Linked DNA regions of Daphnia pulex. The protein of the gene in region 3 purifies or fractionates together with the protein of the main gene of each other region. This does not show direct contact. Links are inferred from orthologs where the notes say so. Each region holds a gene or a part of one and is shown on either strand. Other genes may lie near its edges. The genes, in order: synaptojanin-1-like, src substrate cortactin-like, growth factor receptor-bound protein 2, protein UBASH3A homolog, ALK tyrosine kinase receptor-like and ruvB-like helicase 1.

What was found.
Region 1: the proteins of growth factor receptor-bound protein 2 (region 3) and synaptojanin-1-like purify together in Homo sapiens (co-immunoprecipitation; 3 studies listed by BioGRID and IntAct, counting the BioPlex papers as one, with this or other methods). This does not show direct contact. The link is inferred for Daphnia pulex from reciprocal best matches to the Homo sapiens genes GRB2 and SYNJ1.
Region 2: the proteins of growth factor receptor-bound protein 2 (region 3) and src substrate cortactin-like purify together in Homo sapiens (affinity purification with mass spectrometry; 3 studies listed by BioGRID and IntAct, with this or other methods). This does not show direct contact. The link is inferred for Daphnia pulex from reciprocal best matches to the Homo sapiens genes GRB2 and CTTN.
Region 4: the proteins of growth factor receptor-bound protein 2 (region 3) and protein UBASH3A homolog purify together in Homo sapiens (tandem affinity purification; 3 studies listed by BioGRID and IntAct, with this or other methods). This does not show direct contact. The link is inferred for Daphnia pulex from reciprocal best matches to the Homo sapiens genes GRB2 and UBASH3B.
Region 5: the proteins of growth factor receptor-bound protein 2 (region 3) and ALK tyrosine kinase receptor-like purify together in Homo sapiens (affinity purification with western blotting; 3 studies listed by BioGRID and IntAct, with this or other methods). This does not show direct contact. The link is inferred for Daphnia pulex from reciprocal best matches to the Homo sapiens genes GRB2 and ALK.
Region 6: the proteins of growth factor receptor-bound protein 2 (region 3) and ruvB-like helicase 1 purify together in Homo sapiens (affinity purification with mass spectrometry; 3 studies listed by BioGRID and IntAct, with this or other methods). This does not show direct contact. The link is inferred for Daphnia pulex from reciprocal best matches to the Homo sapiens genes GRB2 and RUVBL1.

What each region holds. Positions count from the first base shown.
Region 1 is NC_060023.1:5,749,180-5,753,181, reverse strand, and holds the start of synaptojanin-1-like, read left to right. Parts: upstream 1-1,202; 5' UTR 1,203-1,371; coding exon 1,372-1,498; intron 1,499-1,564; coding exon 1,565-1,651; intron 1,652-1,720; coding exon 1,721-1,997; intron 1,998-2,086; coding exon 2,087-2,788; intron 2,789-2,858; coding exon 2,859-3,024; intron 3,025-3,114; coding exon 3,115-3,165; intron 3,166-3,262; coding exon 3,263-3,289; intron 3,290-3,352; coding exon 3,353-3,630; intron 3,631-3,952; coding exon 3,953-4,002. UniProt on the Homo sapiens protein: Phosphatase that acts on various phosphoinositides, including phosphatidylinositol 4-phosphate, phosphatidylinositol (4,5)-bisphosphate and phosphatidylinositol (3,4,5)-trisphosphate. Has a role in clathrin-mediated endocytosis.
Region 2 is NC_060023.1:10,192,546-10,196,806, forward strand, and holds the start of src substrate cortactin-like, read left to right. Parts: upstream 1-1,461; 5' UTR 1,462-1,582; intron 1,583-1,646; 5' UTR 1,647-1,657; coding exon 1,658-1,803; intron 1,804-1,869; coding exon 1,870-1,989; intron 1,990-2,050; coding exon 2,051-2,161; intron 2,162-2,222; coding exon 2,223-2,343; intron 2,344-2,438; coding exon 2,439-2,549; intron 2,550-2,609; coding exon 2,610-2,720; intron 2,721-2,784; coding exon 2,785-2,968; intron 2,969-3,034; coding exon 3,035-3,105; intron 3,106-3,166; coding exon 3,167-3,712; intron 3,713-3,771; coding exon 3,772-3,852; 3' UTR 3,853-4,261. Other genes in the region: 39S ribosomal protein L23, mitochondrial-like, read right to left, coding at 563-718, 787-857, 926-1,131, 1,211-1,224.
Region 3 is NC_060028.1:9,115,225-9,119,177, reverse strand, and holds the start of growth factor receptor-bound protein 2, read left to right. Parts: upstream 1-1,153; 5' UTR 1,154-1,549; coding exon 1,550-1,627; intron 1,628-1,714; coding exon 1,715-1,812; intron 1,813-1,883; coding exon 1,884-2,003; intron 2,004-3,188; coding exon 3,189-3,354; intron 3,355-3,431; coding exon 3,432-3,605; 3' UTR 3,606-3,953. Other genes in the region: protein brambleberry-like, read right to left, coding at 4-189, 252-380, 454-762. UniProt on the Homo sapiens protein: Non-enzymatic adapter protein that plays a pivotal role in precisely regulated signaling cascades from cell surface receptors to cellular responses, including signaling transduction and gene expression.
Region 4 is NC_060024.1:13,150,284-13,154,235, forward strand, and holds the start of protein UBASH3A homolog, read left to right. Parts: upstream 1-1,152; 5' UTR 1,153-1,285; intron 1,286-1,345; 5' UTR 1,346-1,496; coding exon 1,497-1,603; intron 1,604-1,666; coding exon 1,667-1,907; intron 1,908-1,970; coding exon 1,971-2,163; intron 2,164-2,239; coding exon 2,240-2,551; intron 2,552-2,614; coding exon 2,615-2,684; intron 2,685-2,751; coding exon 2,752-3,116; intron 3,117-3,184; coding exon 3,185-3,658; intron 3,659-3,738; coding exon 3,739-3,952. Other genes in the region: RNA-binding protein 1-like, read right to left, coding at 222-273, 350-574, 636-847. UniProt on the Homo sapiens protein: Interferes with CBL-mediated down-regulation and degradation of receptor-type tyrosine kinases. Promotes accumulation of activated target receptors, such as T-cell receptors and EGFR, on the cell surface.
Region 5 is NC_060021.1:6,292,310-6,296,592, forward strand, and holds the start of ALK tyrosine kinase receptor-like, read left to right. Parts: upstream 1-1,483; 5' UTR 1,484-1,498; coding exon 1,499-2,288; intron 2,289-4,283. UniProt on the Homo sapiens protein: Neuronal receptor tyrosine kinase that is essentially and transiently expressed in specific regions of the central and peripheral nervous systems and plays an important role in the genesis and differentiation of the nervous system.
Region 6 is NC_060023.1:12,188,576-12,192,666, reverse strand, and holds ruvB-like helicase 1, read left to right. Parts: upstream 1-1,413; 5' UTR 1,414-1,545; coding exon 1,546-1,686; intron 1,687-1,755; coding exon 1,756-1,884; intron 1,885-1,945; coding exon 1,946-2,120; intron 2,121-2,183; coding exon 2,184-2,555; intron 2,556-2,616; coding exon 2,617-2,720; intron 2,721-2,781; coding exon 2,782-3,071; intron 3,072-3,135; coding exon 3,136-3,295; 3' UTR 3,296-3,591; downstream 3,592-4,091. Other genes in the region: longitudinals lacking protein, isoforms A/B/D/L-like, read left to right, coding at 3,933-4,091. UniProt on the Homo sapiens protein: Possesses single-stranded DNA-stimulated ATPase and ATP-dependent DNA helicase (3' to 5') activity; hexamerization is thought to be critical for ATP hydrolysis and adjacent subunits in the ring-like structure contribute to the ATPase activity.

The DNA.
Region 1 (4,002 bases), on a different chromosome or scaffold from region 3:
GGGTACAGAACCCAAAGCCGGTACAAATTCCACAACTAGTCAAAGCAGCAACAACACCCAAAGGCAGCTCGGAGTAAGCAGTAAGCCGACTACCCAATCCAAATCTCTTAACAGACCCAGGAAAAACAAGGCGCCACCTCCAAGGAGAGAAGCAGCAGCTCCAACCCCAAAAAAACAAACGCTGCCCTGCGTTTTCTGCATGTAAACTGCACAATGGAGCTGGAGGAAAAGAAGACGATCATCACAAACCAAAAAAGATGTTCAAACTGCTTTGGTCTCCACAAAAAAATTGACTGCTTGAATCCCCACCGCCGGTGCACCGCCGGTGCAGGAGCCAGCGATGTGGAGCAAAACACCACCTTATCTGTATTTGGCCTTTAGGCAAAAGAGGGTTGTAGGCAGCATGAAAACGGTGATTTGGATTAAGGTCTTCTGCAATTTCACCACATTAAAAGAACCGCCCTCCAAAAATTGCGTGGGGTCCGTTTTAAAGTGGGGGGAGCTTATCTCAACTTAGATAAGATATTCTACGTGGGGAAATTATAATTTTGATAATAAAATAAACATACTGTGAGAATCAGCGTGAAAAACTGATTCGAATCATATTAATTTCCACCCGATCCCTTATTCATGCAAAGACCTCGTTTTTTCGTTTATATTTGAGTAAGTTTTGTAAATGTAAACATATACCATATATATAACCCCCTTACCCTCTCCCAGGGATGTGCGTAATTCCCCCGCTCGACCCCCTACCCCACCCCCCCTTTAGGCCGGCTTGGGCAGCGCGTCAGCCCCGTAAAACTCAAAACTTTAAAACATGTTTTACGGGCACTGGCATTCACGCTCATTTGCACACCCCAACCCCACCAAGGTGGTTTTTTTGTACGAATTTTTTTACGAATACGAATTAGAAATTTGGATCATTGAACATAGTTTTGGGGAAAAATTTGCTTTCTGATTTTGATTTATAAAAATGTGATTTAAAATCGAAAAATCACCAAAAAAATCATAAAAGACAAAATGATTTAAGATCAAAATCAAAATCACCCAAAAGTTGATTTAAATCGCGATTTAATCATTTCCAATTTAAATTCCCAATTGATCTTCCGAACACTGCAGCATGGGGGCGCGGCGAGCGCTTTCATCATATTTTCGTTCCTAGTTTGATAGCTAGTTTCCTATCCTCTATGATTCAGCACATTGCACAGCTGATCCCGACTGTGCTACTTTGACATTCTGATTTTTGTCTTTTTGACAGACGAATGTGCGAGAACGAGCCGAGCGTATCAATTCCATTCTAAGTCACGTAAAAGCTAATGTGAGCGCACATTTTATTTTTAAAAGTTGTATTGTTAAAGTGAGCCATCAAAAATGGCTATGGGAAAAAGTTATAAAATATGGCATAAAGTCAATGGACAGGGACCGTACAGTGTTTTACTCGAACAACGAAACCGAGACGAAGCTCTCTTATTTGAATCTCTAGTAATTGCTGCCTTGGGTAATCGAAGCAAAGTTCTTTTTATTCTCACATACAAATAACCAAAATGTATACCATTTTAACTAGGATCTGCTGAGGTTGAAGTTGTGAAAAAATCATACACAAAACTCTCTGATGCTTATGGATGCCTTGGAGTACTGTTAGTCAGTACAGGTTTGTTAAATAATTTAAGTTTTTCATATTTTTAGAATCTAATTTAAGTTTTTTTATATTGGGTTGTAGGAGATGGACCCTTACAATATCTAGTCATGGTTACAGGTTGTGTGTCAGTTGGAAAGATTGGGGAGTCAGAAGTGTTTAGAATCAATCAAACAAGTTTTTTTCCACTGAGGGGACCCCAAACAGTGGAAGAAGAGAGAGTCACTGAACTGAGGAAACTATTCAACTCTGGCACATTTTATTTTCTCTGGTCATCAAGTGAAGACTCGATTGATGCTACATTATGTACTCAGAAGCTCCAACAGAATCCTGGGACAGACAACAGATTTTTCTGGAATAGGTTTGCAATTACAAACAAAATAGACCAGATTTTTATATAAGTAAGGAAGTGTTGTGGGTTAAGTCTTAACTTAATTTTTAATTTTTTAGGCTGTTGCATCTACCATTGCAACATTATGGAATTGACTGTTCCCACTGGCTTCTACGGATAACATGTGGCAGCGTTGAAATTCGCACTGTTTATGCAGGACATCGTCAGTTCAAAGCAGCAATTTTTTCTCGTCTTAGCTGTGAACGGGCTGGTACGCGATTTAATGTACGCGGCGTTAACGACGAAGGCCATGTAGCTAATTTCGTTGAAACGGAGCAACTCATATATGGTGACCAAGGAGATGCTTCAGCTTTTCTTCAAACTCGTGGATCTGTCCCCCTCTTCTGGGAACAGCCAGGTGTTCAAGTAGGCTCGCATAAAGTCAGATTTTCTCGTGGCCCTGAAGCTTCTTCGCCAGCTTTGGAACGCCACTTGAAACTAATGCAGCAAAGATATCATGACACAGCTATTGTAAATCTACTCGGTCTCAACATGGTGGGTGCGAAAGAAGGCGAGGCTTCTCTTAGTCAACTCTTCCAGGCTGATCAGAAGCGCTACTACGAAGCAATGCCTCACATAATGTTCGACTACCACCAAGAATGTAAAGGTGGTAATCTCCAAAATCTCAGCAAATTGAAACAAAGTCTGAAGCCGATCCTAGATCGCCATTCCTTCTTCCTACTCAAGAATCAGCGAGTAGTTTCACAGCAAAAAGGAGTTGTTCGTACCAACTGTCTTGACTGCCTTGACCGAACTAATTGGTATGATTAATTATTTAGGTTGTTTTTGTGGATTGGTGACTTATAGTTGCATATTTTGTTACCAAAAAAGTGTGCAGACATTCATCGGTTTAGAGATGTTAGCACTACAATTGGAGGCGCTAGAACCCCAGACGAAACCACAGACGTGGACAAGGTTTGAGGAAGTTTTCCGGGCGATGTGGGTTAACAATGGAAATGAAATCAGCAAAATCTACGCTGGAACTGGCGCTATACAAGTGATTGATTTTATTAAAAATTTTATTTTGAGCTGTTTTTTTTTTTCTTTCTTTTTTTCTGAATTAATTAAGAACGTGTTTTTCTAATAGGGTGGATCAAAGATAATGGATGGCGCGCGTTCGGCTGCTCGTACTATTCAAGTAGGCTATGCGTAACCTATGCCCGGTGTTTTATTTCCACTTAATGTATAATTTGAAAGGTTAAAATAACATTTATATTTTTTTTATTTTTTTTAAGAATAATTTATTGGACAGTAGTAAACAGGTAAAATTCGAAATTAAATCGTAAGCTTGAAATTGGAAATATAACTCGGTCCTTTTAAAATAGGAAGCATTCGATTTGCTGATCCATGGAGGTACGGGGAATGATTTCATCTTTGACCTGGCTCGCAGTCTTTTACCACCGCACTGGAGTGTCCTGCCTGCCGATATATTGCATGGCATGTGTTCTCGCTATTCTGAATTCACGGAGCCGCAACCTATTCGCGTGGCAGTTGGAACATACAACGTCAATGGTGGTCATCATTTCCGTAGTGTCGTTTACAAAGACTCTACATTGGCCGACTGGTTGCTTGATAGTCCACATCAAGATTCAGCTGCCGCTAGGTAAAACTTACTCCTTAATTTACTGAAAAGCCAACTGTAATTTTCTCCCATTTTTACTTACCCTTTAAAAAAATTTATTTCGTGGAATTGGGATGGGTGAGTTAACTAATATATGTTAGCATGATTAGAGCATCCCAATTTGGAAATGATTGGAGCATGTGTAATTGTCTATTTTCCTTTAGATTCTAGTTAACGGATTTTCTTTAAATTCTTTTGACTTGTTTATTTTATTTTATTTTTATTTTATTTTTTTTGTTTCTTCGCTTTTCCTTGCGTCCAAGTCCGTTATTAATGGCAATTTTTGTGGTATTTTGGTGAATAGATCATTGGTGTGTCTAAGCGAGGAACAAGGTTGGCGAACAGCGGACATCT
Region 2 (4,261 bases), on a different chromosome or scaffold from region 3:
TTTTTTCCTTCTCTCATGGGATTCTCTTGAAGATTACCTACATTGACTTTGTAGTCTATGAGTTATTGGACCAGAACTCTCAAATGATTCCTGGGTCAATTGATGAATTCCCAAATCTGAAAGAATTTCACGCGAGAATCGGAGGGCTAGAGAAAGTTGCAGCTTATCTGAGTTCGGATAAATGCATCAAGAATCCTTTCAATGGACCTATGGCTCATTGGGGCGGAAAATAAGCTAAATGGTGGTAACCACTATCATATCTGTAAATTTAATCTGGTTCTTATTTGTTTGGCGTTACGAGAAAAAATGTAGACTATTAAAAGTTATTCAATATTTCGGGTTAATGGGTAATACAATACAACGTTAATGAAAAATTATGGAATCCCTTTTCTGCTTTCTGCCACTTTTTTTTCCGAAGCAAAATATTTTCAATAAGTCCCCCCCCCCCCACCAAATACCGTGCCATAGGCCTACCCGGAGTTTCTTTTTATCTTATACAAATGAAATAAAATAATAAATAAACCATATGTTATTACTGTATTCTAACAAATTTTTTACAAATTCAATGACTAAACCATGTAGGCACTCCTTGTTTAGAAATATTAATGCTTGTTTTCTGGGCATACAATTCTTTTGTCTGTTTCATAGTATTAGTTTGCTCATCATAAATGTCAGTACTGCCATGAATTTCTGGGAAGACAAATTTGTGGTCTTTGTGCTAAAAAACAAACAAAACAAAATGGTTACAGTTGAAGAAACATTAAACAAGATAAGTTTTCAAATTACCAGAGTTACAAAGGCTATTTTTTCATCATTTTCCTTAGTGACATAAGTGTTGGGTAAAGTTTTTGTTTTCCCTTTAAAGAAAATTATTCTAAGTGTTAGTAAAACATCACTTATTTTAACCTCAATAATGTTGTCGTACCCATTTGGTTGTAGGTGCTGACATGAACAACAGGGAGGTTGTAAATTTTTTCAAGATATTGTTTAACATCAAGCTTGGTCATTTGTGATGAGACAACAAACTGAACTTGATTAGGTAGCAAATTGTGGCTCGGTTTGACAAGCTTCATCCAAAAGTCAGGTAGGAACACCCGTAATTTAGGACTACCGCTTTTGAAAGCTGGATATCTACATTTTTAGATTTTTTAATCGTAACTAATTATAAATTTTGAGTGAACCCAATTAAGCTTTGAAATTCTTGACTTACATTCTCGTCGACATTTTCTCAGGATGTTTGAAGCCTCAACACAATCAGTTTGATGATTTCTTGTTTACTGTTTTCGTCTGCATTGACTGCATGGTGCATGCTTGAATCTTTATGCTGCGCCAAATCATATTTCAAACTTTTCATTAATGATATTTACACTTTTATACTCATAGAAACAATTTAAATTTTTTTTTTAATTATTATTAGTAGATTTTATGACGAAATAAAAATAAGTTTTTAAAATTCATTTCCGAATGGCATTGTTGCAAGATAAACTATCCGGATTGTTTAACTTCTTATCAAATAGAAAGGGCGTGTGACTCAACTTTTAGCCGGTTTAAATTAGTATTATATCTATTTATTAAAGAATTTGTACGTCAGAGAGATCATTAATTATCACAAATAATTTTAAATTAAAATTTATTTTTCTCTCTAGATTGTAATAACATGTGGAAATCAGCAGTTGGTTCCAGCATCAAGGCTCCTGTTGTCAACCAAGATGACGATGAATGGGATACCGATCCCAATTATATTAACAACGTAACAGAAGAAGAACAACGATGGGGTGGGGGAAGAACTGCGGGTGCTATTGAGTGAGCATAAATGTTTTCTTCAAGACATTGTGTATTTACGTTAACGGTTTCTGTCAATGTTTACAGTATGAATGCTCTACGAGAGCAAACGACTAAAGAAGATCTGGAGCTCAAGAAAAAGGTAATGGCTGCAGGACCTCAAGCATCTTATGGATATGGTGGAAAATTTGGTGTACAAGGAGATCGGTATGTTTTTCTTAGAAAACTAAAATGTGAATTTCATCAACTTTTGTTTTTGTTTCTTCAGTATGGATAAAAGTGCAGTCGGGCATGAACATATCGAAAAAGTTGAAAAACATGCTTCTCAAAAAGATTACACCACTGGTTTTGGTGGGAAATATGGCATTCAAAAGGACAGGTAAGAACAGGATTCATTTTTTGTACATCTTTCCAATTTCTTACTATTATTGTTTATTAAGGATGGATAAGTCTGCAGTGGGGCATGACTATGTAGCCAAGGTTGAAAAACATGGCAGTCAAACAGATGCTGCCAAAGGGTTTGGCGGCAAGTTTGGAGTTCAAACTGATCGAGTTGATAAGGTATTTCATTAAAATATGCGCATTATTGTTTTATTTCAGTTACTTTACAGTTATGCCCACTATTTTCTCACGTTTTATTTGGATCGGTTAAATAGAGTGCTGTTGGTTGGGATTATCAGGAGAAGTTGGTAAAGCATGAAAGTCAAACAGATGGTTCCAAAGGTTTTGGTGGGAAATTCGGCGTACAAACCGACCGCATCGACAAAGTAACAAATTCTATAACTGTTTGAACAAAGGAATTTTTTCTATTGAAGTGCAATTTTTAGAGTGCAGTTGGCTGGGATTATCAAGAAAAAGTGGAGAAACATGAAAGTCAGGTGGATGGAAATAAAGGTTTTGGTGGTAAATTTGGTGTCCAGGCTGATCGAGTCGATAAAGTATAACCTACCAATGCAATGTTATTGTAATCCAACTAATTTCTTAATTTATCTTTTGTGACAGAGTGCTGTTGGTTATGATTACCAAGAAAAAGTAGAGAAACATGAGAGCCAAGTAGATGGTTCAAAAGGTTTCGGAGGAAAATTTGGTGTTCAAACAGATAGACAAGATGCAGCGGCCGTCGGTTTTGATGAAGAACAAGGTCATGTTGGTACTACTTACGAGAAGGATAAGCCAGTTATTGCGGGTAACAATAAAAATTTCCGTTAAGTTTTTCTTGGTTTGAATTTATTAAACTCATTTGGTTCCATAGAGAAAGGTAAAGCGTCTTTGCTGAAATCCCGTTTTGAAAATTTTGCTGAAGAAAACAAGAAAGCAGCCATGGTAAACGTTTGATAGTTTCTTATTACAAACAAATGTATTACATCATTTTTCATTTCTTTAGGTTGTTCCTCCTCCACCGAAGAATCCCCGCCCAATGGCTAAGATAGCACACAAATTCGAAACACAGTCGACGCCTCAAACAGAGCCACCCATTAAACAAATCCCCCAAACAGAAAAACCTGTCCGACAAAACCAATTCCTCCCAGCCAAGTCGCCTGTTATACCAGAGCCAGTCATCCGAGAAAGTCCTGTGATTTCTCCAGTTCCAGAACCTGCTAGGTCGCCTTCACCTCCACCGACTGTCGTTCCACCTGTTCCGGCACAAACTCAACAACATATCGCGCAATCCCTTGAACGATGGAACGATGATCTGGCCGAAGCTGTCGAAGAAGTGGATGATGGAGCGTGGAGGGAGCAAGTGGATGAGCAGGATGACGCCTGGAAAGACGAAGAAGAGATAGGCTACGTCCAAGAGAATTCGAATTTAGAAACAGTTGCGGAAGAAACTGGATCCGGTCTTATTGCAGTCGCCCTCTACGATTACCAAGCTGCTGCAGAAGACGAGCTCTCCTTTGACCCGGATGAAGTCATTGTCAACATCGAAATGGTAATGTTTATTAATTTATAAAATGTGTTTAGTTTCTAACCAACTCTTTTGCTGTGCAGATCGATGAAGGTTGGTGGCGAGGGGAGTGTAGAGGACAGATAGGATTATTTCCCGCTAATTACGTCCAACTGCAACAGTGAAACCCTATCCAGTTTTTTTCGTCTTCCAGGTTTTATCCAACAATCCAAGGTTCTTTTTTATTCCCAATTGTTAAGCATTCTTTCCAAGAATTTTCCTTATCTCGTAAGCCAACCATATGGCGGTTCTTTTTACGCGTGGCGTTATATTCGTGTATTGTTGTCCAGTCAGTATTCACAACGCGGTGAAGAAAAACATTACTTATTACAGATTAGTTGATTTGATGAAAATGTGTGACGGAAAAACATCGTTCTTGCCTATTATTGTGGAAAGAGAATTGCAAGTTATCCCTTATCTGCATTTAATTAAGAACCAATAATTAGATGTTGTTTGCCGACTCAAATCACAATGCTTTGTTATGATTATTGTGCCGAGATCCAACCGACCAATCTATCTTATGCAGCCTGTTGA
Region 3 (3,953 bases):
AACCTTGAGCTCTCTAATGAATCCCAATTGTTGACTAGAACTGGCCATGAGTTTGTTGACTGTCATTTGAGTCAGTGCTCTAAACTGTTGTTGGCGGGCACCGTAGCACACTGATCTTGCTCTATTGGATAGAATATGGTAGGCATTCCAGGTGTCGGAATCCATGTCAGAAGTACATTCCCTTAAAGTCTAAAAAATATAAACTGGTTAGCTACAACTAGCTGAAGTGATACATTAATTAGAAAACTTGCCATTGAAGAGGAGCATGGGTAGACTCTCCGCCCTTCCAATCTTGATTGGCAGTTTAAAAGATTCACACCCAACTTAGACAAATCTTCCTCTGAGAGATCATTGCAGTCTTGCTTCAATTGAAGGATTAACTATAAACGAGTTCATTAATATTAATGAACAGTGAGATTGTACTTTGAATCAACATCAAAGTACTTTACTTACTTTATGCTGGCAAACATCCAGCTCGCTCAGACTAAGGTCAGTATATTTCTGTGCATCGGCAATGAATTTTTCATCAGCTACAGACAGCTCAAATGGAATATCAGACCTTGCTTGCACAGCACTCTCATCAGGTTCAGAAACTTCAATCTTATCATCTTCTTTTGCTACAGCCATAAGCTTATCAAATTGTTTTTCACTACTCAAAATGTTAAAAGGGGAGCTGTCTCTGCCTAAAATCCAACCTACTAAACTAGAATGACTACCAGTTCCTAGGAGAATTATGGCCACTAAATATAAAGTTATCTTCATTTTTGTAATAATCACAGTGCAATATAAGAGAAAATCATCTGACAATAATTGTATAAGATTGTAAGAGGGTTTGGTCGATAAAATTAGTCAAAAGGAACTGCACGTTGCTTTTCTAAATTCAAGTCCGGACTGGTCTGAATCTCTGGGTCGAGATTCCTTTTGAAAACCATTTGCATTTATTCAAATGAGGCAGATAACGTTGCCACATTGCTTTTTCCAAAAGAATTCGACGGAAATTTAAATATTTAAAATCTTAAAATATTCATCTATTATGTTGTATTATAAAAAATGTATATTCCTGTAATTGAAATAATATTTTAAATAATTTCAGTCATTTGGAAAAAAAATAGTTAGAAAAAATAAAAAACGTTTACAGGCACGCAAGCATTTACCTTTAAAATTCCATTGGGAGAAAAGGACTGGTGACGCTCGTGCGTCAAAGCCAAGAACTAAGTTGTTTCCCAAAATTATGGCTGTCTGGCTTTCGTCGGGCCCCGAAAACAGTGTATAGTTAATCAAACAATCGTGGATACGGATACGTCAGTTGATAGTCAATATTGTCAAACAATTTGTGGGAAATGCTATTCGTTTTTGAGTTTCGAGAAGTGTAATTCGACTTTGAACGAAGTCAAAACATTTTGGTGATTGGCCAACAACCGTTTCACTTGATAAACGTAGCCGTGGTGCACATCCGGCCTAGCCTTGAAAAGGAAATTCCTTCTCTGAAGCTTGTTTTGCCAAGAAATACTTTATCATCTGTGATTTCATAAAACGTGTTATTTTCGAGATGGAGGCCAATTCTAAACATGACTTTAATGCCACTGCTGAAGATGAGCTTAGTTTTCGAAAAGGGCAAGTTCTCAAGGTAAACCAAGCAATGATGCTTTCAACAGAATTTAAGGAATTTTTGCTTATAGCAATATTCTAACCTGTTCATTTGATTCAAATGTAGATTCTGAATATGGAAGATGATCTGAATTGGTATAGAGCAGAATTGGATGGAAAAGAAGGGTTGATTCCTAGTAACTACATTGAAATGAAAAATCATGAGTAAGCCTAGTTGAAATGTTTATGATAAAATAATGCATATTGATTATAACTTGTTGTTTTATTTTCTACAGTTGGTACTATGGAAGAATAACCAGAGCTGATGCAGAGAAACTCTTGGGCAACAAACATGAAGGCGCTTTTGTTGTTAGAGTCAGTGAGAGCTCACCGGGAGACTTTTCCCTGTCTGTTAAGTATGTTATCTAGTTCTTAAAATAACAATGTGATAGATTTTGTTTAGAAACATAGACAGTGTAAATCCTTAACCAAGAGCTCTAGATAGTTTAGAAATGCCCCATAGGAATTCTTCTACTATGTTTGATGTTATTATTTGCCTATTCTCAAATGTTGTTGAAATCTATTTGTGGCATACCAGACTACTTATCATTAGAACATCTGAATGAGATAAGTTGACATCTATTAACTAAGCTTGTAAGTCGTTAACTGCCTAAAACGGGAAGATTTCTCAAAATATTTATGTAGAAATAGCACATTATAAAAACATATTGAGAAATATCGCTTTGCATTCAGATATCCTGATTAGACGCTACACGTACATTTGAAGCGTGAAAAGAATTTCAAACATGCAGGCTTTCATCAGTGTAAAATCAAATATCTTATAATCTCGCTCTCCAAACTGTACGATACAAGTTCTACCTTACTAGGAAGACGCGTTTGAATAGAAAATTAATGAACCGAACGTACAGTTTATTTCTATTTCCCTCAAAGAATCATGGGTATTTGGTTTTCTGTAGAAATTTGATTTGATCACGCAAGAATTCTTTCCAAATGCAGTGCATGAGTCAACCTGATGACGCACACATCCGTTTACATTCCAATTTTATTCACTTCAAAGGTGGAATGAATCTCAATTGTCTATTTTGTTTTACCTTAAAAAAACAAAGACAGCTTGTAAAATTGGAACTCGTGCAGTGACTACCCTTTGCTTAAGTCGTGACTCGTGATTCATGAACCGTCAGTCCTACTGTTTTCAGTAATTAGTTTTATCCTTTTTGGTATTTTATTAGCCTTGTTAGGCGTGTCTAGGGTACATTCTGTTTTCTATCTGTTAGGCCTTTTCGTCAAGTTCCCTTACCACTGAGCCACCGTCCGTAATCAAGCAACTATATATGTGCCTTGAACCGGAGTTTTGCATCATTTTTAGTTTTTACAATTCTCTCATCGCCCTGCTGTGTTATTTATTCCTTCTTGAGGTTTTTGCCCGTTAAGTTGTAGGATGAGTGTGTTTTGTTTATAGCTAAGGAAGCCATCATCCTACTTCCTTGTAGTTCGAAATTAGTTTGAAATTTACACAATACTTTGTTACGTGCATTCTGTGTTAATAGGCTATTCTCTATTTTTTCTTTCTTGTCTCGCAGATGTGGCGATGGTGTCCAGCACTTCAAAGTACTTCGCGATGCCCAAGGGAAGTTCTTTTTGTGGGTGGTAAAATTCAACTCGCTCAACGAACTGGTCGACTACCATCGCTCCACATCTGTTTCTCGGTCTCAGGATATAAAGTTACGAGACATGGTGCCTGAAGAGGTGAGTTACCAGTTGTTCTTTTTTCCATGCCTTTAGGCTCAGGATTGACTAACAATTGTTGTGTGAATTTTCGACAGTTCTTGGTGCAGGCACTATACGATTTCACCCCGCAAGAACCAGGTGAATTGGAATTTAAGCGAGGCGACGTCATAACTGTGACAGACCGTTCTGATCAACATTGGTGGACTGGAGAAATTGGCGCCCGCCGCGGCCTCTTTCCTGCCACTTACGTTGCCCCGTATCATACTTAAAAGGCGAAGGCACTGTTCGTTCGTTTTCTTTTGCTCCTTTTCTTTTCTTCATAAATTTTTCTTCATTTTTTTTTTCTTTTTGTATTAAAGTGGTGCGTCCGTTCTTAAGACTCAAGTTATTTTTGCCGACTTCGAACCTAAACACATTACTAACTTTGATAACAAAACAGTAAAAGTGATGAACAGCTAGGATTGACAGGATTGCATCTCATTTCTCATTGAAAGCAGTTTGTAAAATTGCTTTCTTTTCAGTTTTTTTCCGTTTATGTTGTTCTAACCTCGATTTTCGACTGTATTTCCCCTCAAGCACACAGCTTTCGGGATTGCCATTAGATGTGGCTTTGGTCG
Region 4 (3,952 bases), on a different chromosome or scaffold from region 3:
AATGATGAAAAGCCCAGGATTGCAGCTGACGCCACTGCTGGTCACACACAAAAAAATGGATGCCAAATAGGAGGGGAATCATAGTAGGGGAGGAGGTGAATGACGGTTTTTTTTCACAGCGACAAGGAGAAAAGAGAAAAAGTGGAGGAGCTTCTGCTTTGAAAATTATTATCTGCACAACAGGTAAGTGTGTGTGTGTGTATGTGATAGACCGGAATCAATTAATCGGCATACTTGCTGTAGCTGGGGGAACGTGAACGACTGCGTGAGTCCCTGCAATAACAAAAAGAAAAGTTTGTTTTGATGGCTTTTGCAACAGGAAGAAAATGTCAGTAGTTAAGGATCTTACCTGCGAACTCGGTCGCGAGAGACTGATCGAGAGGCTTTCCTGTCGCGGAAACGATCACGACTGCGTGAACGTGATCGTCTGGGTGAGTATCCACCACCTCTCCTTGCTGGAGGCCCACCACCTCCTCTGCGGTCTCCACCACGTCCACCACGGTCTCCACCAAAGCCATTACTTCTCCTCTTGCCTGTAGACATTTCCACCTTCACTCTGGCACCACATAAACGCCTGTGAAACACAATAGCATAAATAACAGATTGTTTGTTGTCAATAATCAACTGCAACTCACACTCCATCAAGGGCACGAACTGCATCCTCTGCATCTCTCGGGTCTTCAAATTCAACAAAGGCAAAGCCAGGGGGATTTCTTGCTACCCAGACATTTCTCAGTGTGCCGTACTTGCTGAAGGCTTCTTCGATCTCGCCTCTGGCCGCGTTAGAGCCTAGATTGCCAACATAGACTTTACAACGCGGATCCCAGTCTTGATGGCGGGACGACATGGCAGGTGCTTTGATGGCAAACGACGATAGAACGAGCAGTTGTAACCGTTGAGTTTGAGTTGAATAAAACGGAGCTTAGTCACGATATCAAAATTTGTGTATCAATAAACTGTATTACCTGGTATATTACGAGTATAAATGGGCGAAACAATATTTAGTTTGACTGTCAAAAGCAAAGAAACGCGGCCTGAGTCCAAGAGGAGGGGAGACGCGTCTAGCCGGTTGTTTCCAATTACTCGATGTAGACAACCACATATTCAATTCGCATTTGTCTTTTTCTTGTTGCCAGTTTTCAATAAAAACATACGCCGCAAATTTGAACGAAAGAGATTTGGCAATCACGAACGCATTTTATTTGGTAAAAAAAAATAACAAAAATGCAGAAAAGATAAGTGTCATTTCATTTTGTTAATGAAAATTCGTTCGAGTCATGAAAAGGTTTGAAGATGTTTACAAATTTTTATTCGATCTTAATTTAATTGCTCTTCTTCATTACAGTCCACTGGCCATGTTATCTTCAACACCATTCCACTATATTTAGAGACATTATCGGGATATTAAAATCGAATTTCGGTATTATTAGGGATTCTTATCTCATCGCTGCTCATATGCGTCACCGTGCAAACTAAAAGTATTCGTCTTGAGAGACATGGCTGAACTACCACCCAGAAAGAATGCAACTCCGACAAAATTGACAAAGCTGTTGATCTCACCTCTGCAGGTTCTCCTGCAGATGGGTTTTCCAAAACACAGAGCGTAAGTCACCCTGTAGCTCATAATACTCGGCACAACATGTAATTCTGTTTGTTGCTTTTACAGGGAAAAAGCCCTCGCTGCAACTGGATACAGAAATGTTCAGTTAGCATCAGACTGGTTGCTGGCCCATGTGAACGACCCCACCTTAGATGACCAACAGCCTAGAGAGTATCTTCTTTACCTGTGTCCGGCTGGCTATCTGCAAAGTCAATTGCAGGAATTTTGGGCCAGATCAGTTCGAGAGTGTGGCAGAAACGGTGCTCATGAGTTCCTACCCCATGTCACTCTAGTTCCCCCTTTCAAGGTTTATCAACAATATATATATCTACTGAAACTGGCATCATTGTAACTGAGTGATTGATGTTAGGTACCTGACAGCAGTGTCCCCAGCATTGTGAGCCTCCTGGAGAGGATTACAGAGCATGAGAGCCACCCCATTCCTGAATTAAGACTAGAGACCTACATTTCACAAAACTTTATGGGCTTCTTCCTCAATCAAGACTCTGCTGAAGTCATCAAAGTCATGGCTTCTCGGTTTGCTAGGGAACTAGCGCAAATCAGTATACATTTACGAGATTATTATTTTATGGCTCCAGAACGTTTCATTAGCTTTGATTCTTATTGCGTGTTTTACAGACGTTGCAGCGGAAGCCCACACACAAGCCCTTCACCTGACGTTGGCATACAATTTTCCATCTGGTCAATTCAGCACACTGGAATATCTTGTTAGAGCTCTGAATCCCAACAATGGCTATTCTCATTGGCAACTACGACTTTACTCGAGAGATATCCGCCTTTCAGGGAAGAAAGTCTACAAGGTCGTCTTCCCGCACGTTCCCCGTGAAACGGACGAACTGGAATTGCTCCTGGGCGATTTTGTTTACGTCGATCCTGAAGCCTGTAATAATTCCATCGACGGGTGGATCGAAGGCATCTCCTGGCTTACTGGTAAATAAGTTCTTAAAAACTATTATTCTCTTGAATTCGATTTAGAAACTGCGGCTTCTTCAGGTTGTTCGGGTTTTCTGCCAAAGAATTATGTCGAGAAAACTGCCGAATCGGACGCCTGGACCCTGCACAAGTACCGCCCATATAATTAGATAGTTCATAATCGAATTTGCTTGTTAACATCAAACTGCTGTTAACAGGAGTGTGGAGTTGAATCCATCCGCTGACGACTTGGACGAAATCGACGGAATTTCAGCATCAAGCGATCAAGCCCGGAGATTGTTGAGTCAAGTGTCGCCGGAATTGGGTTCTAACAGCGGCAAAAGTTCACCCACCGTTCGCCAGGAAATTAGTCCACCAAGAGGGGTGGCCGTTCGACCAACAGAGCTTTCAAAATGTACGGAAAACTACGTCAATTCCGATTTAGATATGGCCGGATTGTCTCCTGTGGTTGAACGGCCTCTAGCCTTCAAACAGGGTCCTCGACGGTTGTTTATAGTCCGCCACGGAGAAAGGGTCGATTTTACATTTGGCACCTGGATTCCTTACTGCTTCGATGAATCAGGTATGTCGGATTATTCAAATTAATAGAAAATTTGAATTTTAAAATTATTCGTTCATCTTGCATTACAGGTAAATACGTCCGTAAGGATCTGAACATGCCTCTGAGCGTTCCCAAACGTCAGGGATCGCCCGAGTCTTTCTTCAAGGATTGCCCGTTGACTATCCTGGGAGAAACGCAAGCTGGACTTTTAGGCCAAGCTTTACGCTCTGCTGGCGAATCCAACAAGATCCAGCACGTCTACTGCTCTCCTTCGCTTCGCTCGCTGCAAACGTGCCAGAACATTCTGAAAGGCCTGGAGATTGAGCAGTCGATCCCGATTAGTTTGGAGCCGGGATTGTTCGAGTGGCTGGCCTGGTATCAGGACTCGATGCCGCAGTTTCTCACACCTTCGGAGATGCTGGACGCCGGCTTCCGTCTCCGCGAGCAGCACCAGTACTTTATCGACTTTAGCGAGCTTTGCGACCGGCGTGAGTCAGCTGAACAGTATTACATGCGCTCGCATTACGTCACCCAGTGCGCCCTCCGCTGCACTGAGCACATCGGTAACATTCAAATTGGATTTTCAAAAGAGTCTTGATCCATCCCTCTCATTTGAGACTTAATTATCTTTTAATCGAAAAAGGTGGAGACGTTCTCCTGATCGGACATGCCTCGACGCTGGATGCCTGTTCCAGACAGCTGGTGGGTGGATTACCGCGATCGGCTCAGGAGTTATCGAGAATCGTCCACCGGATCCCTTACTGCAGTTTGGCCGCCGTCCAGCAGCAGCAGCAGCAACAGTGTCCAGAAGAGCCGGCCGATGATTCAGCCGAGGAAATTGGTAGTAAGCCCCGTTG
Region 5 (4,283 bases), on a different chromosome or scaffold from region 3:
AACTTCAAAGAATATTCATGTCTTAACTTTCTCGCTCTCTCCCTCATGACCGCAAACATATTGCGCAATACTCGCCAGAGGGGGATAACTTTGAGGAATCTGATTCTGGATGATTCACGCCACTGTACTCTGAAGAATCGATTGTCTCTGAGCATCAGGAAAAAGAATATGTGTAATAACCAATCATGTCCGAGTTATACGACAGATATCCTTGGCTGTCTTTTTTCTATGAGGACGGATGACCTCCCTCCATCTATCTCATCCGCCTATCGATATATATAGATGTTGTTTTTATGCACTATCGGATCCGGTCGGCTCGCAGGCCACGGCTCGGGGCATTCCGGAGCGGAAATGTGCGTCTGACTTCATCCGTCTCTTCTTCTTTCTCTTTGGTCAATCTGATGGTCCATCGTCGAATGTTTTTTTTGCTTTTCTTTCTTTTCCTTTTTGGGTTGTTACTTTTATTATTTTTTTTTTTACTCGACGTTCGTGACGATTCAGTCTCATCGGTAAAAATAGATGATGCAATAACCATCTACAACAACAACAACCAAAGTTAAGGAACAGACTTGACTCGCATGGATAACGAGTTGCTGGCTGCAGTTGTACACTGCCGCACTGCACGTTCAATTACTAGCGTTTGACATCGCGGCAGTTGTAGTAGGTACGGTAGTAGTTTAGCTCGTGAGTCTAGGACGAACAACAACATCAAATGACATGGGCAAAGGATCCCGCCTCTTTTGATTGTTTTGATAGGGTTGTTACCAACTTCCAATAAGGAAAGGAACAGCGGGTGAACGGGAATACAAAGTTGGAGGATTTTCTGGAATTCGAAATCGATCGATAATAGTAAGCAAGTCATAATTGCTGATTGCAATCTAGAGCTTATCAACTGTGAGGGGGAGGATGGGGGGGGGACTCCTAATTTGCATCGCCATCTCCGGTTTGAATAGGCCGTTAAAGTCCTTTTGAATAAAGGCACGAGCTATATAGGCAACGGGCTCGGCTGTTTTTGTGTGCATTTGCAGCTCCTGTATAGACGATGAGCTACAGCCTAGTCCAGAAATATTCCTCCGGAAGGAACGAATAAAGAAGGGAAAGAATGGGCGGATCCGTAGTTGAAAGCGGATGCGTTGCCATCCTGATCAATCCATCGTTTTCGTCAACATCAAATAATGGATCCCGAAGAAAAAAAATGTGAAGAAAAGAGAACATGTTAGAACGACGTCGAATGAAGGAGGGGGTAGAGAGAGAGAGAGAAATTGATAGAGCCAAAAGTCAGTGCTGCGGAGTAGCGCCTGCGTAGTCCCGACTAAGCGGAACCAATAGAGACGGAACAAGAAGGACAGCAGCGTGCCAATGTGTTGATTTTTTTCCCCCTTTTTCTGTTTCTTTCTCTTCTTCTTTTTTCGAATCGTGTAAAATCCCTTCCTGCGCCAGTTGCAGACCAGAGCTTCTTGGTGTTAAGTCGCTCTTCCATCCGCTCCTCCACATCCACATGGAGCGTCGGCGGCGATTGCTCTTGTTTTGGCTTTTTGTTTCGACTGTGGTGATCCAAAGTCCGGATGGTGTCGGCTCCTGTTATTTGGGCACTTTTGCCGAATCGCTTCCGCGGACGGTCAACTGGCCGTCGGCATCGACATTCCTCGATCCTTGGCGTCAAATTGTGCCCTTTTTCTTTCATCCGCCGGAATTTTTGGACCGTTGGGCGAAGGCGGATTTCGCCCTGCTGCATGCCAGCCTCTCTCTGCCTTGTTCCGTCCTCCAACATCAGCCGGAAGTAGTTTTGTTGCCGGAAGCCTGGATTGAATTCCTCCCGGCGTTGGAGGATGGTGCTCGATATGCGGCGGTCGACCAGCAGCCGGCCCGTCCGTATTTCGACATGTGCGACCTGTTCGGCGCATCCAATATCAGTCGTGATTCAGTTCCAGGATGCCAAAATTGGCATCATCTAGAGGCGTGGAAACGTTTGCGGATCTTTTACGACATCCCGTCGCCCATCCGAGCGGCCGAGACCGCCACGGCGCATCGCCTACAGTGCGGTGAAAGTGAAAATAATAGTAATAGCAGCAGCAGCAGCACTAGTGGCGGTGGTGGTGGTAGTAATTCAACTTGGACTATCCCAGTGTCGTCTATGGTGAAACGATGGATGGCCGAACGGTCTCCCTGGACTAGATCCAATGCCACCATGCCTATAGCGATTGTTTCCAGGCATCAATCGTTTTACGGCCGGCATCACAGTTTACTATCCGTCCAGGCCGAATTGCATCTCACCTATTGGATGGATAGTGAGTAAAATAGTAATAACGCTTTTCGGGGGGTATCTTTTCTTTCCTTGTGGCGCTGCTGTGATCGAAAGCCGCGGGATAATTGGAATTACCTCAACGAATTGAGTGCGCTTCTTTTTTAAGAGCTTCCAGCGACTTCCGGTCTAGCTTCGATGGATCGGGTTTATATCTTTTTATCGCGGGTCGAAGAGTGCGGTTTCAGTATTTTCCACTGCAGCGCCGGAATCCAATAAATTTGAATAAAAGAATAATAAAAAAAATCAACATACACCCAAAGTGCTTTCAGTCGACTGAGTCAGTTTGGATTTTACCCGAATGAACTCGACGTCGATGGCGTTTGACGTGTTTGATTCCCGTTTTCCTTTACTCGTTCACGACTTGTGAATCTCAACCGCTCCTAAAGAAACGTTTGACGCCCTTTCGTTTTTACATCCCCAGCAAAACCAGAACGATAATAGTTGAGTCCAAAGTTAGTCCCCTCCGTGTGTGTACTCCTTACCGGCGTAGTATTCCGCGGAAAACGATTGAGAAAAATAAAGAATAAATATTCTATCCGTCACATCAATCACGCTTGACTGGGATCACTTTGGCTCGATTTTTCCCCTTTGCAAAAAAAACCCTAACAGCTTCACATCTAATATCTACGACTCGTTGAAATTTCTTCCTATTTCCCCCTCTCTCGTCGAGTGGTGCGTGTTGCGTGATCGCCCTTTCTCACTTCCCATTGTTGATCCGCCTTCTTTGGATGTTTGGGACTCGTCCGACAAACAGGTCACTCACTATAAGCAATCAAGTGAAACGCCTTGTTAAAGAAAAAAGCAAACTGGAACTAGTTTAAAAGACGAACGTTATTTCCCGCTGGAAAAAAAAAGAAAAGAATCCAATAGCTGGATATACCCAATAATAATCTTGTCGAGTTGGTGGATTCTATTTGGTATATGGGTCTTCTATTTTTTTTTTCCGCGTGTGTTATTACACGACAACGGAACATGTCTGTGGCAATCGGATTCCTTTTTTTGCGGCTATAGATGACCTTTTCTTTCCTACTACCCACACGAACAAAAACTATTGTGATAGATGTAATGCTCTTCCCCCGCTTTTGAATATGAATAAGGGGAGGGTAAACATTTCATGGATTCCTCACGTCTAGACTTTATTTTTGCACCCTGTAAGATGCAATCATAAATATTTGATCACATATATACGCAGGAAGCGGATTTAAAAATACTTTAGCGGGTTTAGTTGAATTGCAAAATTAATTGGGCATTTTTTTGTGCTTTTCATTTATTCGTAGTAGTGCACACAAGTATACCAATTCTTTCCGTCAAGATCTCCTTGGTTCTTCTTCTTTTGATTATGTTTTCGGTGGTCCGGCAAGAGATTCCTTGGGTCTTGTCCATTAGGGTCCGTCCGAAAGAACGAACGAAGAGATCCAGTTCGCCGCGTTCCTAATGACGCAGTCTGGTAGAGTTTCTTGGATACAAATAAAAAGGGGAAAAGAAAAGAAAATGGGTGGTGGTGGGGAGGAGGAGGGAAAAGGGTGGGGTGGGGGGGGGGATAAAAGTGATTAGTCGCGTTAGAGACAAGTCAGGCGCGCGTCACTAACGCTGGACTTGCCCCGCCACGCCTTAGATTCCTCCTATATAACAGTCTTCTATTCCCCCGTCCAATCAAAACCTACTTCAGCTTAAATTGATCATCGTCAAGCAAGGCTCGCCCTCCGCTCCATCCTCGCTACTCTCCCCACAACATTTACTCGAGCACTTGATTAGATGATTCTTATTGAAGACTTTGAAAGTCTCTGCGCAAAGCAGACGAAAATAAAAGTTTTGCAGACGACCTTTGGCTCCCTCCTTTTAGACCATCAAGGGACAATGAGGCGAGGATTTACTGTTGAAAAATAAAAGGAGGCGAATGCAATTGGGAATGAAATCATGTCTGAACGGATGAAGAGACGTGAGAGAACTGAGACTCGATTATTAGCGGTCGCAAAAC
Region 6 (4,091 bases), on a different chromosome or scaffold from region 3:
CAACGGGTTTCAGTAGCTAGTACGAGCACTTGAAGGTACTGCTGTATGCCGTTAGCCTCTCTTGAGGCCCTTGACTCATCCTTTTTTGGTTCAAAGAGAAGTAAGTATAAGTAAGAAGAGATAAGTACAAAAGTGAAAGTGTTAACAAACTTGCAAGATATATGGGCTTGACTTTCTCCCACCGCCGTTTGCAATGAGGGATCATTCAGCCAGGTTTCCGCCAACTCATCCAATCATTCAAATTCCACAAAAGGCGTCAAAGATCATTCTCGTTCTTAATCGGAAGGCATTTTGAAGTACTAATTAATAAAGAATTATTGTTAAAAAAACCGATAAGAATGTGATGTATCATTTTAAAATAAAAATATACCTTGTAACGGGTTCTGTATGTCAAATCGAGCTCAGTATTTAATCCATTTCGAAACGAAAAGGTGTTTTGGTAGTAGTTTCATCTCCATTTTTGTTTTATATGACCTTCTGGAGCGAGGAGAGTTTAGTTAGCAAATAATCGCATGCGAATGCACCAGATAATGTTTTAATGAGAATCAGTTTGAGAAAATTGAGGGCACATTCACGTTCGAGTGCTCGCGCTCAGCAGTGAAACAGCGAGCTTTCTAATATTTACTGATAACGAGTTTGAAAACAACGGTTTCCATTATTCTTTCTCCAATGTGCCGAAAATACCAGACAACAAAATAACAACAGCCATGAAATATTCTGTTACTCTGTGTTTAAAAAGACGACAACATTCTAAAAAAGACTACAGCATCAATGCGTGTTATGTGTCAAGTCATCGAACTTGCAGCGTGTCTACTTTGCCGCACCTCTCCTTCGCCTATTCCTGCGTGTGTATGAAAAATGTGTAGGTCATACACGAAATAGATAAACGAAACTATTGTTGGATCTATTCTTTAATTAGTACTTTTAAGTGAAGGCACGTTTGAAGTCTATAATGGGGTTCGTATAGGCTAATTGTTTGTTTGTGTTTGAAATTGAGGAAATAACTGCAGACAAACTTCACGACTTTCGTCACACGCTTGTAACAATTTGACTACTGCGACGGATGTAAAAGATTTTAGCACTTCCCAGTGAAACATGAAATCGAAATGAATCAATGAATAGAAGAAAGAACAAGCTTGTTTGTTTACCAGACGACAGGTGTTTCAGTTTAATTTCGTTTAACGGCTTCGGCAACCACTCAAATCATCTTAGATCTCAGTGAGCAGCCAATCCCCATGGACCCCATCAACCCGATAGCCTGGTTGCCGAATCCTGGTGCTTGATAATTTAAAACTTACAGAATGATTTGCATGTAAATTTTCTTCCATGGTGCTTTTTCTTTTAAAAAAGGGTAAAAAACAAAAAACATTCTGCTTAAAAAAAAATCCTTTTACTACACAGTTGAGTCAAGGTCTACCAGGTGGCGTTTAATCTGGCGGGACTGCCGGTTGTTACCATAGAAACCCTGAAGCAACTTCGTCTCGTGTTCTTCTTAAGGCGTCCACATTTTTTCTGTAAATTTGCAAGTCTTTTATAAATAACAAAATGAAGATTGAAGAAGTTAGAAGCACGGTCAAAACTCAAAGAATTTCGGCTCACAGCCACGTGAAGGGTCTCGGTTTGGATGAATCCGGCAATGCCATAAACATCGCTGCCGGCCTTGTTGGCCAAACGCAAGCCAGAGAGGTAACACACAATTTTTTTCAGTTTTCTAAGAGAAATGTACTCAACAACTGTTTGCTCTACATTTCACAGGCAGCTGGTTTGGTGGTGGATTTGATCAGGTCTAAACGTATGGCTGGAAGGGCTGTGTTGTTTGCCGGGCCACCAGGAACTGGCAAAACTGCCCTCGCCATGGCAATTGCTCAAGATTTAGGCAACAAGGTCAGTCCTGCTTTAACTGTTTACAAGTTGAAGAAATTGAAAATTAAAATTTCATATACAGGTTCCTTTTTGTCCTATGGTGGGCTCAGAAGTCTTCAGCACTGAAATCAAGAAAACTGAAGTTTTAATGGAAAACTTTCGTAGAGCTATTGGCCTTCGTATCAAGGAAACGAAAGAAGTTTATGAAGGAGAAGTCATTGAACTTACCCCAGTTGAAACTGAGAATCCTATGGGAGGTAAAAGTTAACAACTCAGTTGATTTTTATGACAAATTTTACTACCAGTTATTTGTTTTACAGGATATGGCAAAACTGTCAGTCATGTAATCATTGGACTGAAGACGGCTAAAGGAACAAAGCAGCTCAAGTTGGATCCTTCCATCTACGAATCTCTCCAGAAGGAACGTGTTGAAATTGGTGACGTCATTTACATTGAAGCCAATAGCGGAGCGGTTAAACGTCAAGGCCGATCTGATACGTTTGCCACCGAGTTCGATCTCGAAGCCGAAGAATATGTCCCTCTTCCTAAAGGCGATGTTCACAAAAAGAAAGAAATTGTCCAGGACGTCACCCTACACGATTTGGACGTGGCTAATGCCCGCCCACAGGGAGGCCAAGACATTCTTTCCATGATGGGACAGCTAATGAAGCCGAAAAAAACCGAAATCACAGGTAATATTTTCATATACTTCAAAAATGCTTACCAAGATTTAAATTTACATTTTAATTGTAGACAAGCTGAGGAGAGAAATCAACAAGGTAGTCAACAAGTACATTGACCAGGGAATTGCAGAGCTTGTACCCGGCGTGTTATTCATCGACGAAGTTCACATGCTGGTAATAGACCAATAAAAATAAAGATATTCAAAGTTAGTGATTGATTTTAATTGAATTTCAGGACATGGAATGCTTTACCTATCTCCAAAAAGCGCTGGAATCGGCTATCGCCCCCATCGTTATCTTTGCCACTAATCGAGGCATGTGCACAGTCAGGGGTACCGATGATATTGTGGCTCCACATGGTATTCCTCTTGATCTACTCGACAGACTTCTCATTCTTCGGACGATGAAGTACACCGCCGAAGAGATGGTACAAATTATCCGCATTCGTGCCAAAACAGAAGGATTGAGCATTGAAGACGATGCCCTCCAAGCTCTTGGTGAACTTGGCAATCGAACTACTCTGAGGTAAGAACAAAAATTGTAAAGCAAAAAAATGATCTTATTAAACAATCAAATGTTCTTGGTTTAGGTATGCGGTTCAGCTACTTACACCCGGCGCCCTGACAGCTAAAGTTAACGGTCGCTCTTCCATCACCAATGAAGATATAAAAGAAGTCGGAGGTCTGTTTCTCGATGCCAAATCATCAGCCAAGATCCTGACGCAAGACAAAGACAAGTACATGAAATGAGGAATCGAGTCAAATTTGCTGGTCTGTGTGTTTCTTTCCATTTTTCTTAATAAAATTATCCTCCACGAATAACCAATTCAGTTCGTCACGCTACTCCGCTTCCATTTTTCTAAACACATTTCTCATGACCAACATATTTAGCTCTGTGTACCGCTTTTCTATTCGAAACTTGGTGTCGTTGGATAGCTGCTCTCTCAAAAGTTACGGACTTTTAACTTCTTTCATCTAAAAACGGGTGTACAAAATAAAAACAGGAAGCCGTTTTGAACGATTAAAATACATTAAAATGGATCGAGCTTTACTAAAAACATTGATTGAATTCTGAACAGGGGAAAAATTTCACCTCGGATATTTTGATTTGACAACGACGCCGCGCCAAATAGCAGACGAAAAATACTTGTTAGAGATGGCGTCTTTCAATCTTTGTGAATTTTTATACACAACACACCTGCTGGATTGTTAACTCACTGGATCATAAGCTGGTTCGAATTACTGGTCTCAGAATTTCGCCAACGCCATAAATTGGTCTTCTCATAGGGGTGAATTGTTGTTGTTATCTCACGAAGGCTTTGGTGAAAAATACCAAGGGTCTGGTTGTGCATTTCCGAATTAAAACAGGTGGACGTGTGTGCCTGCGATGATGGGCCAGCACGACATTCAAGAGTTTTGTCTCAAATGGAACAATCATCACAGTACTCTGGTATCCGTCCTCGACTCTTTGCTCGTGAGAGAAAGTCTGGTAGATGTAGTCCTGGCTGCTGAAGGTCAATCCATAAAAGTACACAGATTAGTTCTT